Canis lupus familiaris: one gene and its partners. The protein of the gene in region 2 interacts with the protein of the main gene of each other region in a pairwise test. Links are inferred from orthologs where the notes say so. Each region holds a gene or a part of one and is shown on either strand. Other genes may lie near its edges.

Region 1 (3,748 bases), on a different chromosome or scaffold from region 2:
AAATAAGACTTTAAAGCTACAGAAGTTTTATTCACTAATGTTAATTCATGTTTCTTCATACTCAGGAGAATATTGTGTTTGAAGATTGTTTTAAAATGGCGTAAAGATTATATAATCATGTTTTTAAGAAGGGCATCCTCATGAATTTGTCAGAAAACAAGGTCTCTTAATTCTTTACCATTATATTAATATATGCAAGCCTTGTTTATTAAATCTGAGAACTTGTTAAAGGCACATATCACTGAGAGTTTTATTTTAAAAGGTCATGTTGTTTTTATTTAAACAGCCTTCATTGCCAAATGGAACAAAATTCTGTATCTATGTCACTAGAAATTTCACTGGGTGCTTTTTGTTGGCTGGCACAGCTGGGAAAAGCATCAAAATTAGTGACTGTCTAGTTGAGTTTCTTCCAGTACATTACTATTTGTTTATATATATGTATCAACAGTAGTTAAGGTAGCACCTACCTAATCACATCTTCATGAGGTGAATTCGGAAGCATGACTGAAGAAACCCCTAAATGATACATGACAGTACAGTCCACACTCGAGGATCAGTAAGCAAGCATGTTAATGATTTACGCACATTACATAATCACAACAGCCATACGACATGTAGCATTTTACCCCCAATTAATAGATGAGAACACTGAGAATCAGAGACGTGTCATCACGGGGCCCGCCTACCAGGCCGGTTCGCGGCTGGGTCGGATCCGAGCTTGGGAGACCAGTCAGTCCAGCCAACTGAGGGCCCCACGGCCAGCGTTAGGCAGGCGCGGCCACTAACAATTGCTGGGGTTTGACTCCGTCGGTCCTAGAGACAGCCGCGGCCCAGCACCCTCGGGTCACCAAGTGGCCCAGTTTAGTCACTAGAAGTTCAGGCCCCGCCTCTTTGGCCGGCGCAGGCGTTTTCCCTCCCGCCGCCTTTCGGCGTTTCTCCGCCCCCGCTCCGTGGCCTTCACGGCTTCCTTCATTTGTCTGCGACCGTGTCGCCTTGAGTGACGTCAGGGGCATCGGCCCTTCCCATTGGCCCATTTCAATAGTCGCGGGATACTTGAACTGCACGAACAGCCGCCGCTCCGGCGGGCTGCTCGCTACATCTCGGGGGCGTCTTGAGCCCTCCACGCCCGGCAGTTCCTGCCTGAGCCTTTCGCAACGTCCTCGGAGCTGCGCGATCCCGAGCGAGCAGGCTGGCCCGGACTGCCGCGGGCGGCTGCGGCTGGAGCGTTTCTCGGCGGGGTCGGCGGGACGCAGTACACGCTGCTTGGCGCCGCAGGCTGATCCCGCCGCGACCCGGGGAGCAGTGATGTTGGGCAGCTCGGAGCCTGGGCCTGAGGCCCGCGAGGCGGGCTCGTCGCTGCTAACGTTGCAGCATACGGCGCTCCAAGAGGACCAGGAGAACATCAACCCCGAGAAGGCGGCGCCCGCCCAGCAGCCCCGGACCCGGGCCGGGTTGGCGGTCCTGAAGGCCGGGAACCAGCGCGTCCCAGCGCCGCAGCAGAGGCCCAAGACACGGCGGGTAAAGAGATGAACGATATCTGCAGGCGAGGAGGGCCGAGCGGGAGTTTTGCACGAGGTTTGAGCAGGCCGGGGAGCGTGGCGAGAAAGCATCTTCCGAGCTGTTGTAAGGGAGGCCTGGGTCTGCAGTCCCCTTGATGCCTAGTGTTCTGGCGCGGGGGATGCCACGTAAATCTTTCCCATAGCTCTCTTCGCCAGCGCTGTGTGTTTTGCTCCCTGTCTGCTCTTTATTTGGTATATTTTCCGATAGAATATGAGGGTCAGACCGAGCACCACGACGTATGTCCGCGCTTTCTTCGCCGCTTTAAACCCCAGGCACTGCCCTAGGATCTGGACCCCCTTCCTGCTCGCCATTTGGTTAAGATTACCTTTACTTTAGGAAAGAGTATAAAAAATAATTTTTTTTTACTAAATTCCGCCATTTTACCGGATTTGCTCTGTTGCTCCACCCTGGGGCCAAAGCGGTGAACCAACACCTCTTTGCCGGCTCTCCTAAACTTGTCATCATTCAGCCTGCTACCCCACTCCTCTTGTGGCCTTGATTAGTTTTGCATAAATGCATTTAGTGTGATTCTATAACTTATGTAGAAATGCCGCTAACGAACTTGAACATCCCTTTCTTCAGCTATTCAAACTTTACTGCCTGGATTTTGTCCCAGATAGTTTAATTTCCTTAGAGTATTTGGGAGTGAAAACAGAAACTGAGAACCGTAAGGGGAAGAAAGCAAGCAGAACTCCATTTAATAGGCTCAAAGCTAGCTATTCATTTCTTTTTAGGTTGCACCTCTTAAGGATCTTCCTATAAATGATGAACAAGTCACTATTCCTCCCTGGAAAGCAAACAGTAAACAGCCTGCATTTACCATTCATGTGGATGAAACAGAAGAAGAGACTCAGAAGAGGCCAGCTGAATCTAAAAAAACAGAACATGAAAATGTCCTGGCTTTTAATTCAGCTATTACTCTACCTGGACCAAGAAAACCGCTGGTACCTCTTGATTATCCAATGGATGGTAGTTTTGGTAAGTTTTAAAGAACATCTGTATCAAATCAATGTAATCCTAAAGTGATTATGGATTAATGATAGTTTCATTTTAAGACATTATTTTACCTGACCCTTACTATATAATGAATTTGGTGTAATGTAACAAAGTTTAGAAAGGGTATGATTCATCTCCGATCTCACAGCTCATACATTGACCTAGTGACCTATAAATCCTAACTGGGTGCTCCTTCCTTCCCATATTACTGCCAATCACATCAATTTAATTAGATCTCAAACCCTTATTTTAATCTGACCCTGGAAATATTTGCCTGCTTGGGAGAATAGATTTGAACCGTATTCATAAACTCACTGTGTACATACCACTTACGAGAGTATTTGAATAGGATACAGCTTTCAATATTGTGATATCTAACATCTCTTACAGCTTAAAATTTTCTGTAAATCCAGTCTGATACCAGAGAGGGACACTGTCCTCCTGTGAGGCAAGAGTTGAATCATGACTGCAGCTAACCACATATAAAATGAAGTAGCTGCTATAAAGCAAGCTCTGCCAACAGTTTATGCGTGCAACTTCTTTACCATACATAGATAGGTCTGTTGAGTCACTGGATAATTCATTCGTTTCATCTCATTTAGGTTTTAGTTCTGAGAAGTGGTCTGGGAATAGCAGGAAAATCCTTTGGAAATAAAGTAATTTTTGTATTTTTCTTGAAAATTTATAACAAACTTTAACCTTACAATGAAACTTGAAAAGAGTAATGAATGATATTCTTTGCCTCAAAAAGTAATTTAAAATTACAAAACATGAAACATTTGGTGATTATAGTGTTAATTTGTTTGAATTGCTCATAACAAACCTAATTTTAATTAACATTAACCCTGCTTTTAGTTATTGCTACATTGTTCTTTGAATATGTCAGACTTTGGGGTCAGCACTCTTAAGGTAAATACTACATAATACCACAAAACTTGGATTTTAACTGTCTTTGCAGAATCACTGTGCCATTTGCTCTTCTCTCATGGAATATGATTGATACTTAAACATAATAATACATTTTCAAGCACACTCTTTTAGTGGCCTAGCAGTATTTTCTCTTGTTGATTAAAACCAAGTGGACTGGGGATCCCTGGGTGGCTCAGCGGTTTAGCGCCAGCCTTGGGCCCAGGGTGTGATCCTGGAGTCCCGGGATCGAGTCGCGCGTCAGGCTCCCTGCATGGAGCCTGCT
Region 2 (3,648 bases):
ACCTACCACCTCATTTAAGCCACTAATGCTGTAGATCTCTGAATTCCAAAAGAAATAGAAAAACGGAATATACCCATTCAAGAAACTGACTTGTAAAGCAAAGAGAAAGGATTAGCTCAAATGATCAGAAAAGCTAGTAACACGGAGACTTCAATACTAAGAAAAGAGCCAAGAGAAGGAATCAGCAGTCACGACCGAATCATAATCAGCCATTAAGGAAATGCATATTAAACACAAAGAATGTGACTGTTCCAAGCACTGATGCGGACAGGAAAAAACCGAAACTCTCACAGGCCGTGGTGAAAACATAAGTGGTACAACCACTTTGGAAAACACTGGGCAGTTTCTTGGAAAGATCAATATACGCTGACTATGTGAGCCAGCGGTCTTGCTCCTCGGTATTTACCCAAAGGAATCAAAGTGTTTGTCCACGTGGAACTCGTACGTGAATGTTCTCCACAGTTTTACCTGCAAGAGACCCAAACTAGAAATGACCCAAACACTCATGACCTGACAGATGGATACACACACTGTGGTGCATCCAGACAGTGCACTACCCAGCAATAAAAAGAAATGAACTGTTGATGCCTGCTGAAAAACAGATCTCAAAATAATTGTGATGACTGAAAGAAGCCAGGCCAAGCAGGAGCACATGCCCTCTGACTCCACTCAACTGCAGTTCTGGGAAACACCAACCACAGTGGCCAAATGCAGAGGAGCAGCTGCTGGGCCCTGGCGGGAGGTGGCTGGGAGGGACCCCATAGGCCTGCAGGGCATGGGCCACTGCAGGGTGGGGTGGGGAGGGGGATGCACAAGTTGACCATGCTGCCTGTGGACGGTGCACACGTGGAAGACTCTTGTTCCACTGGGACAGTACCTGGGGACAGCCACTTAGAGGACTAATTTGGCAGCACCTGGTGAAATCGAAGCTCTGTACGTGCTCTGGCACAGCAATTCTGAGCGTGGACACAGACTCTAAAGCAGGATCGCAAACTCCAGCCCCAGGCTGGGTCCTGTTGTTGTGAATAAAGCTTTACTGGAACACAGCCACACACATGGTTTACTGCTGTCTACACCAGGGCTGCTTTCAGGCTACATCAGCAGAGCTGAGAAGCTGCAACAGACTGTACGCGGCTCATCAGCCTAAAATATTTACTATCTGGCCCTTCTCAGAAAATGTTTGCCGACTGGTGCTCCGAGAGACACTGGCATCTGCATGCCAGGAGACACATGAAAGGAGTTCGTCAGAGTTTATAACTGTGGAAGGCTGACGAAACCTATGTCCACCATTAAAGGAATTAACGAACAAATACTGGAATACCAGTCATCAATTAAGACGACTGAACTAGACCCCCAGGTATCCACACAGGGAGGGTCTCAGAACTTAATGGTGCCCAAAGAAAGCAATCTGCGTCACATGCCAGCAACAGGGCAGCACTGAAAACTCACCCGAGCAGAGGCAGCTGCGTTTAAAGTATGGCTCACACCAAGTTCGTCCCTGTGGCTGCCCTACGGACAGTGGGGTTGGGGCAGAGGCAGAAAAAACATCAACTTTTCCTGTACGTTTCAATTGCTTTTATTTTAAAACTCTAAGCTCTTTTCAGAAGACCAATCAGTGAAATTTAAATCTGATGTTTATGAGCGTACTACGGAAAACAGAGCAGAGCAGCCTCCTTGTTCCCTGTCTGCAATACACATCACCCCGATTCTGAAGCACTTATTAGCTGTACTTTTCTAAAGCAGCAAATGTTCACCACTCAAGGACATTTTTCCCTTTTATCTTCTAAAGTCAAAGTATGTACTCTGAAATTTACTCTTCAGACGAAAGCCTAAAGCACAGACCTTGTGTGCATCGCATAGCAAACAGGGCTATAAAATTTAAACCAACTGAAGCTTCAAAGGTTGCCTACATTAACAGCCTGGAGGGACACACTCACGGTTTCCGACTGGGTCCCAGAAACACTGCCAGGGACACCAGGACAGCCCCTCGGGCCTGTGAAAAGGCCTATGACATGAAAATTTCACAGCACAGACAATGGACCACAGAAAGACCATTCTTCTTTCAGAGGAGCCAACGGTGCTGCCGTGGATAGAGCCCCGGGGAGCACTCTTCTCCTGGGACTGTTCCGGGGCCCCCCTGAGGTGGCTATCAACTGCAGAGTCCCCTCCCTGCTGTTTCAAGCCACATCGTCATTACAAACCCGGACATCTGAGGCAGAATTATCTGTGCATGTGTGTAAAACTTCCTGGAATTGTTGGCTGCTGCTGAAACTATCCAAGAAACATCTTTCTGTTACAAAACCAGTAAGTGAAGATACATTCTTATTTTTTAAAGTGACTATAACAGAAACGTAGCTGTGACATTTGAGGCCTACTATGTGGCTGGCAAGTATTTGCCCCAGGGTCATATGCTCAGGGGCGGTGGCTGGCCAGGAGCTGCGGGTCCCAACAAACAACATCCCACAGCTGCAAGAAAGACAGCTGGCAGGCCAGGGATAAGCAGCACCTGGATTTAAAAGCCAGACTTGAAAACTCCCTGGTCTCTTAGTGTGGAGGCAGCCAGGGCCAGGCGGCCAGCCTCCCGACTCTGCAAGCAGGGAGAGGGACTGGACGAGGCAGGAAGGGGACAGCCACGGGATCAGAGCAGAACAGGCCCTTGGCCTTGATTCCTGAGCCCCCACCCAGGACACGCCAGAGGAGCCCAGAATTTTCTATCCTCCCAACCAAGGAGGAGGTGGAGCGGGGAGCTTTAAAGTGTGTCAGCGGACTCTGCTGATGAGCACATTTGCAGGCATCACTTCTTACCTTCTCTCCAGGTCTGGGTGACCGCTGTAACTTCTCATAATCTTTCTTGGTCTCCAGAATTTTTTTCACAAGTCCTCCTGTTGAGAATCAGTGATTTTATGTTATTCTCTAAAGAGCTCTTCTATTCTAAATGGGCAGAGGGGAGGCAAGAACACTAGTTTCTTGTTTTTCCTCTTTCTATCTATATTCTACATGGCTTCAAATCATCTTTATTTGCTTGGAGTCTACAATAGTCTAATACAGCTGGTGGTAGAAATTAACTATAAAACTTCAGAGTGAAAAAAAAAAAAACTTCAGAGTGTTTCAAAGAAATCAGCTCCTCAAAGGTAAAAAAAAAAAAAAAAAAACATTGGAAACAGAAAAGAATTATGAGGACACGTAGATGGACATTCAAACATATAGCCACCTTGCCACAAACAGGTGTGCCAACTCTGAGCTGTTTCTAAGCACAAATACTCCTTTTATATTAGTTCAAGAGCCTTCAACTTCCTTTAAAAAAAAAAAAAATTGCCCATGGGGGTAAATATCATACAAAACATTTTCTTTAGAATACTGTCTCATGCAAATGCACATCCATATGAAATTGGCTGCATACGCCCCGAAGCACCCGGATGGCAGAGGAGGGCTCAGCTGTGAGCAGCAGTGAGGATGACTTGTCTGCGCTGCTCGGGGACGAACGCCAACACACGATGCCAAGTCACAACAGCAAGACAGAGACACGCAGATACTGCTAAATGCACACACACACTCCAGGCACATGTACTAACTTACAGTTTTTTAAATCAAAGTATAAGCCATATGTCTTACCATTACCTACAGGGAGAGGGCAGGTGGAGGCCCCAA
Region 3 (3,748 bases), on a different chromosome or scaffold from region 2:
TGCCCAACCTCTATTTAATTCAACCTATCTGTGTTGAAATCTAAAATTTAACTTCTTTGTCTTATCAAACAAAATACATTTTAATAAGTTAGAAGAATACAAGATTATTACTAAAAATATTTATTATTATACTTTGTGGCCTGTTTGTAGCTTTTTAAATCATTCACTGACAGCTGTCACACTTTCAGTCTCACTGTGCTTGCCTCTCATTTGAAACTAATATTGCTACAGGCTGGAAATTAGAAAAACTTCAACTGCATATTAAATGATAGCTGGGACTTTTTAAAAGTTGAATCTGGTGTTTAGGGGCCTCTTCTCTAAATCTATGACTTACATTTGAGTTACAGTTGGTGGAAGACAGTTTTCTCAATATTTGGCTTATTGTTTATTATGCTTAAATAAACTTATTTTCTCTTTGAAATTACTTTCCTATCATTTATTTTTTAAAAAATAAGAAGTGGTTCTGAAATTATTCTCACCTTTGATCTATACATTTTGACCAGTTTTAGCCTCCGAAGAAGATCTTCTTTCTCCTCAATCTGCTTCACCAATTTTGCTCTTTCTTCACTTAATCCTTGTTTGGAAAGATCCTCATTCACAAAGTCACTCTGGAGATCACTGCGTGACTCAGTATCAAGAGACTTAGATTCACAAGCACTGATACTCTTGAAGGTATTTTTCAAACATGTACTTTCTTTGAATGGACTGTCTATGTGTTTAAAATTTTCTTGAAAATCCAAACAGTTTTCCTCTATTGAAGGTTCCTCAGGAAAAGTCTGATCGTTTTCTTCATTCTCTACTTTAAGACGTTTTACCGCACTGTAACAGGAATTAAATGAAAATCTAGTTTTCCTTAGTCGTTCTCTAAGTGTTGCACTCATCGGCTGAAAAGGAGCACAAAATAGTAATCAAGAAAAACATTCTTGTGTAAATAAATCTGCTAGAAATAAAGACCTTAACATTTCTATAGTGAAATAAAGACCTTAACATTTCTATAGTTGACACCACTAGATGGCTTTCTCTTTCCACGGATCTAAAGTAACCATCACAAAATGTCTTTCAATTCCTGCAAGCCCCATTAATTTTATTCTTTTTATTTTAGCAAAGTCAGCACCCTTCCAAAACAGTGTTGAGACACTTACCCCAGTCATCCCAAACATCTGTTCAGCAACTGTCACACTCCTGACACTTCTGAGTGCCTCAGAGTTACAAATTAAGGAGAAGACCTAGCTCCCTGCCACCAAAGACCTTCAGAATACTGCAGATTCAAACTTGCTCAATTTGGAATTTTGTAGTAACCTGATCTGAAACTAAATGAACATAATTGATACCAGATGAAAATGGTGGGGGTAGTTCAAACTCATTATCATAGGAGAAAGGCCTAAAATTACTTAATAGTCAATAAAATCTCTACTTTTTGATCTACACATTACGTTGATTAACAGTCTTCAGTAGAATTAAACCCACTGCTGGCACAATACCTAGAAATAAAGAATAGCTCCCATGCAAGAGCTCGGATATGCATACTTGTTTTCTTGAACTACTTGGGCGGGGAGATGGTGGACTGGCACAGGCCTGCGGAGTGCTAGGTGAAACCACGGCTGGGTCGGATGGGCTTTCCATCTTGAAAACGCAATCTTGGCTTACCTCTACAAAATTGAAAAATAACAACAAAAAATAACCAATCAGAATGTAAATACATACTGTTTCTGTAAAAGAACTTTTTACTGCTGTACATATCACCTCCACGAATAAGCCAGCCACAACTTCACTTAGTTGGGGTCCATTCTTGCTCGTTTTGCAGTTTTCCATTTACCTTCCTACCTACGACCGTGTGGGTCCACGTGGTGACTACCAGGACAAACGAGCTGGCATCTCCCTATAGAAACGCTCTCCACTTGTTTTATCTACATTAGAATATCCTCAGATCTGTCGTGTACGGAGTGGGAGAATTAACTGTGGCATTTTTTTTTTAAGATTTTATTTATTCACGAGAGACACAGGCAGAGGCAGAAGCAGGCCCCGTGCAGGGAGCCCGACGCGGGACTCAATCCCAAGACCCCAGGATCACGCCCTGGGCTGAGGGCGACGCTAAACCACTGGGCCACCCAGGGATCCCCTAACTCTGGGATTCTTAAGGAACTCTAATTTATAAGGAAATACAAACTCAAATCCTGACCCGAAAAAATCATCAGAACTGTCACAGTACCTTGAGCCCTATAAAGCTGTGTGACTAGAACCAATGACCACGGGGCCTGAGGAACAAGGAACAGGAGCGCAGGTAAGTGTACGCCCGTCTGTGTCGTTTGAGCAGCGAACTGACCCTGGAAAGGAGAGTTGGCACAAGTTTGTTTCCTCAAACAAAGGCATCAACTTTGGGGGGGGGGGGAGGGGGGCATTTTCCTCCTCCTTCCACCACAGCAGAAAACCCACACTAGCCCTCGGGAGCCCCCCGGGTCAGAGGAAGGGTTGGGAGGCGCCCTGCCCGCACAAAGGGAGCTCCGCTCGACGCGCCCGCAGACCCCGGAGCAGCCCACCCCCCACACTCCCATCCTCTCGCCCGCCCGCGCTCTACCTCCCTCCTCCACCTCCCAGAGCGCGGAAAACGCGCGCTGCCCTGGGGGGCGGGGCCGCAGGGGAAGCGGAAGAGACGCGCGATTGGTCCGATTGACCGACGCGCAGCGCCGCGTGCCTCAGCGCCCCGGGAGCGGCCGGACTGCGCGTGCGCGGTCTCCAGCGCGGCGAGGAGGCGGAAGCGGGCGGGGTCACGCGGGGCCCGCAGAGACGTGTGACTGGCCCGGTCGACAGTCGCTCGGCGCTCTGCCCCGCCCAACGCCGGAGCGCGGCGGCACAGGGCGCGCGCGGCCGCCAGCCTCCGCAGGGTTGGGGGCGGGCCGGGCTGAGTTTCTGAATGACTGACGGACGGATTCTGAGGGAACGGCTGAGGGAATGGGGCGGAGGGGCGGCGGCTTCTGAGGGAATGCGGGGGGGCGGGTTCCCTCGCCGACGTTCCAGGCCTCGCCTTCCCCTCCCGGCTTCTTTGTGTTTGTGTGTGAGGGAGGAAGCCCGGGCGTGCCCCGCGGCCCCTCGGGCCTCGCTCGCCGCAGCTAACGTCGCAGTGTCACGCGGCGGGGCCGAAGCCGCGGAGCCGCCCGTGGCTGGCGTTCACGGTCGGCTCAGCTGAGGCGGGGGGAGACTCCGACGTGTCAGACCTTTCCAGGAGGCCCGTGCGGCTGCGCACCTCTCCAGCCTTTGCTGCCGCGAACACTTTTTTTTTTTTTTTTTTTAAGATTTTACTTACTTATTCATGAGAGACGCAGAGACACAGGCAGAGGGAGAAGCAGGCTCCATGCAGGGAGCCCGACTTGGGACTCGATCCCGGGTCCGTCCCCAGGGTCACGCCCTGGGCCGAAGGCGGCGCTAACCGCGGAGCCACCGGGGCTGCCCGAGATTACTTTTAAAAATAAATAAATAAAAGGTTTGAAAAAAAAAGAAATAATCCTCACTTCCTGGTGGCGATGGTCTGTTGCTGTGCAACAACAAAGTTAAGTCAATTGGGCGGAGCCCTGGGTTTGGGGAAAGACGGTTCGTAATTTCTGAGTCACATGGAAGTCGGGGATTTTTAAGGAGCTGGTGTTTTCAACCCTCATAAATGGCCTTTGGAAACGTTGATACGGTCTCTCTACAAACACCTCATAGCACAGAAGTGCCAGGGCCCTGAGGGATTGACTGAGCAGTCGGAAATCGG

What was found. The genes of interacting proteins can lie anywhere in the genome.
Region 1: the proteins of TRAF3IP1 (region 2) and CCNA2 interact in a two-hybrid assay, tested with the Homo sapiens proteins (2 studies listed by BioGRID and IntAct). The link is inferred for Canis lupus familiaris from reciprocal best matches to the Homo sapiens genes TRAF3IP1 and CCNA2.
Region 3: the proteins of TRAF3IP1 (region 2) and SFR1 interact in a two-hybrid assay, tested with the Homo sapiens proteins (2 studies listed by BioGRID and IntAct). The link is inferred for Canis lupus familiaris from reciprocal best matches to the Homo sapiens genes TRAF3IP1 and SFR1.

Annotation. Positions count from the first base shown.
Region 1 is NC_049240.1:19,143,620-19,147,367, forward strand, and holds the start of CCNA2 (cyclin-A2), read left to right. Parts: upstream 1-1,020; 5' UTR 1,021-1,305; coding exon 1,306-1,518; intron 1,519-2,294; coding exon 2,295-2,538; intron 2,539-3,748. UniProt on the Homo sapiens protein: Cyclin which controls both the G1/S and the G2/M transition phases of the cell cycle. Functions through the formation of specific serine/threonine protein kinase holoenzyme complexes with the cyclin-dependent protein kinases CDK1 or CDK2.
Region 2 is NC_049246.1:49,087,365-49,091,012, reverse strand, and holds part of TRAF3IP1 (TRAF3-interacting protein 1), read right to left. Parts: intron 2,883-3,648; coding exon 2,806-2,882; intron 1,510-2,805; coding exon 1,450-1,509; intron 1-1,449.
Region 3 is NC_049249.1:16,628,762-16,632,509, reverse strand, and holds the start of SFR1 (swi5-dependent recombination DNA repair protein 1 homolog), read right to left. Parts: upstream 2,559-3,748; 5' UTR 2,553-2,558; coding exon 2,538-2,552; intron 2,536-2,537; exon of another isoform or gene 2,492-2,535; intron 2,325-2,491; coding exon 2,210-2,324; intron 1,650-2,209; coding exon 1,528-1,649; exon of another isoform or gene 1,482-1,527; intron 885-1,481; coding exon 480-884; intron 1-479. UniProt on the Homo sapiens protein: Component of the SWI5-SFR1 complex, a complex required for double-strand break repair via homologous recombination. Acts as a transcriptional modulator for ESR1.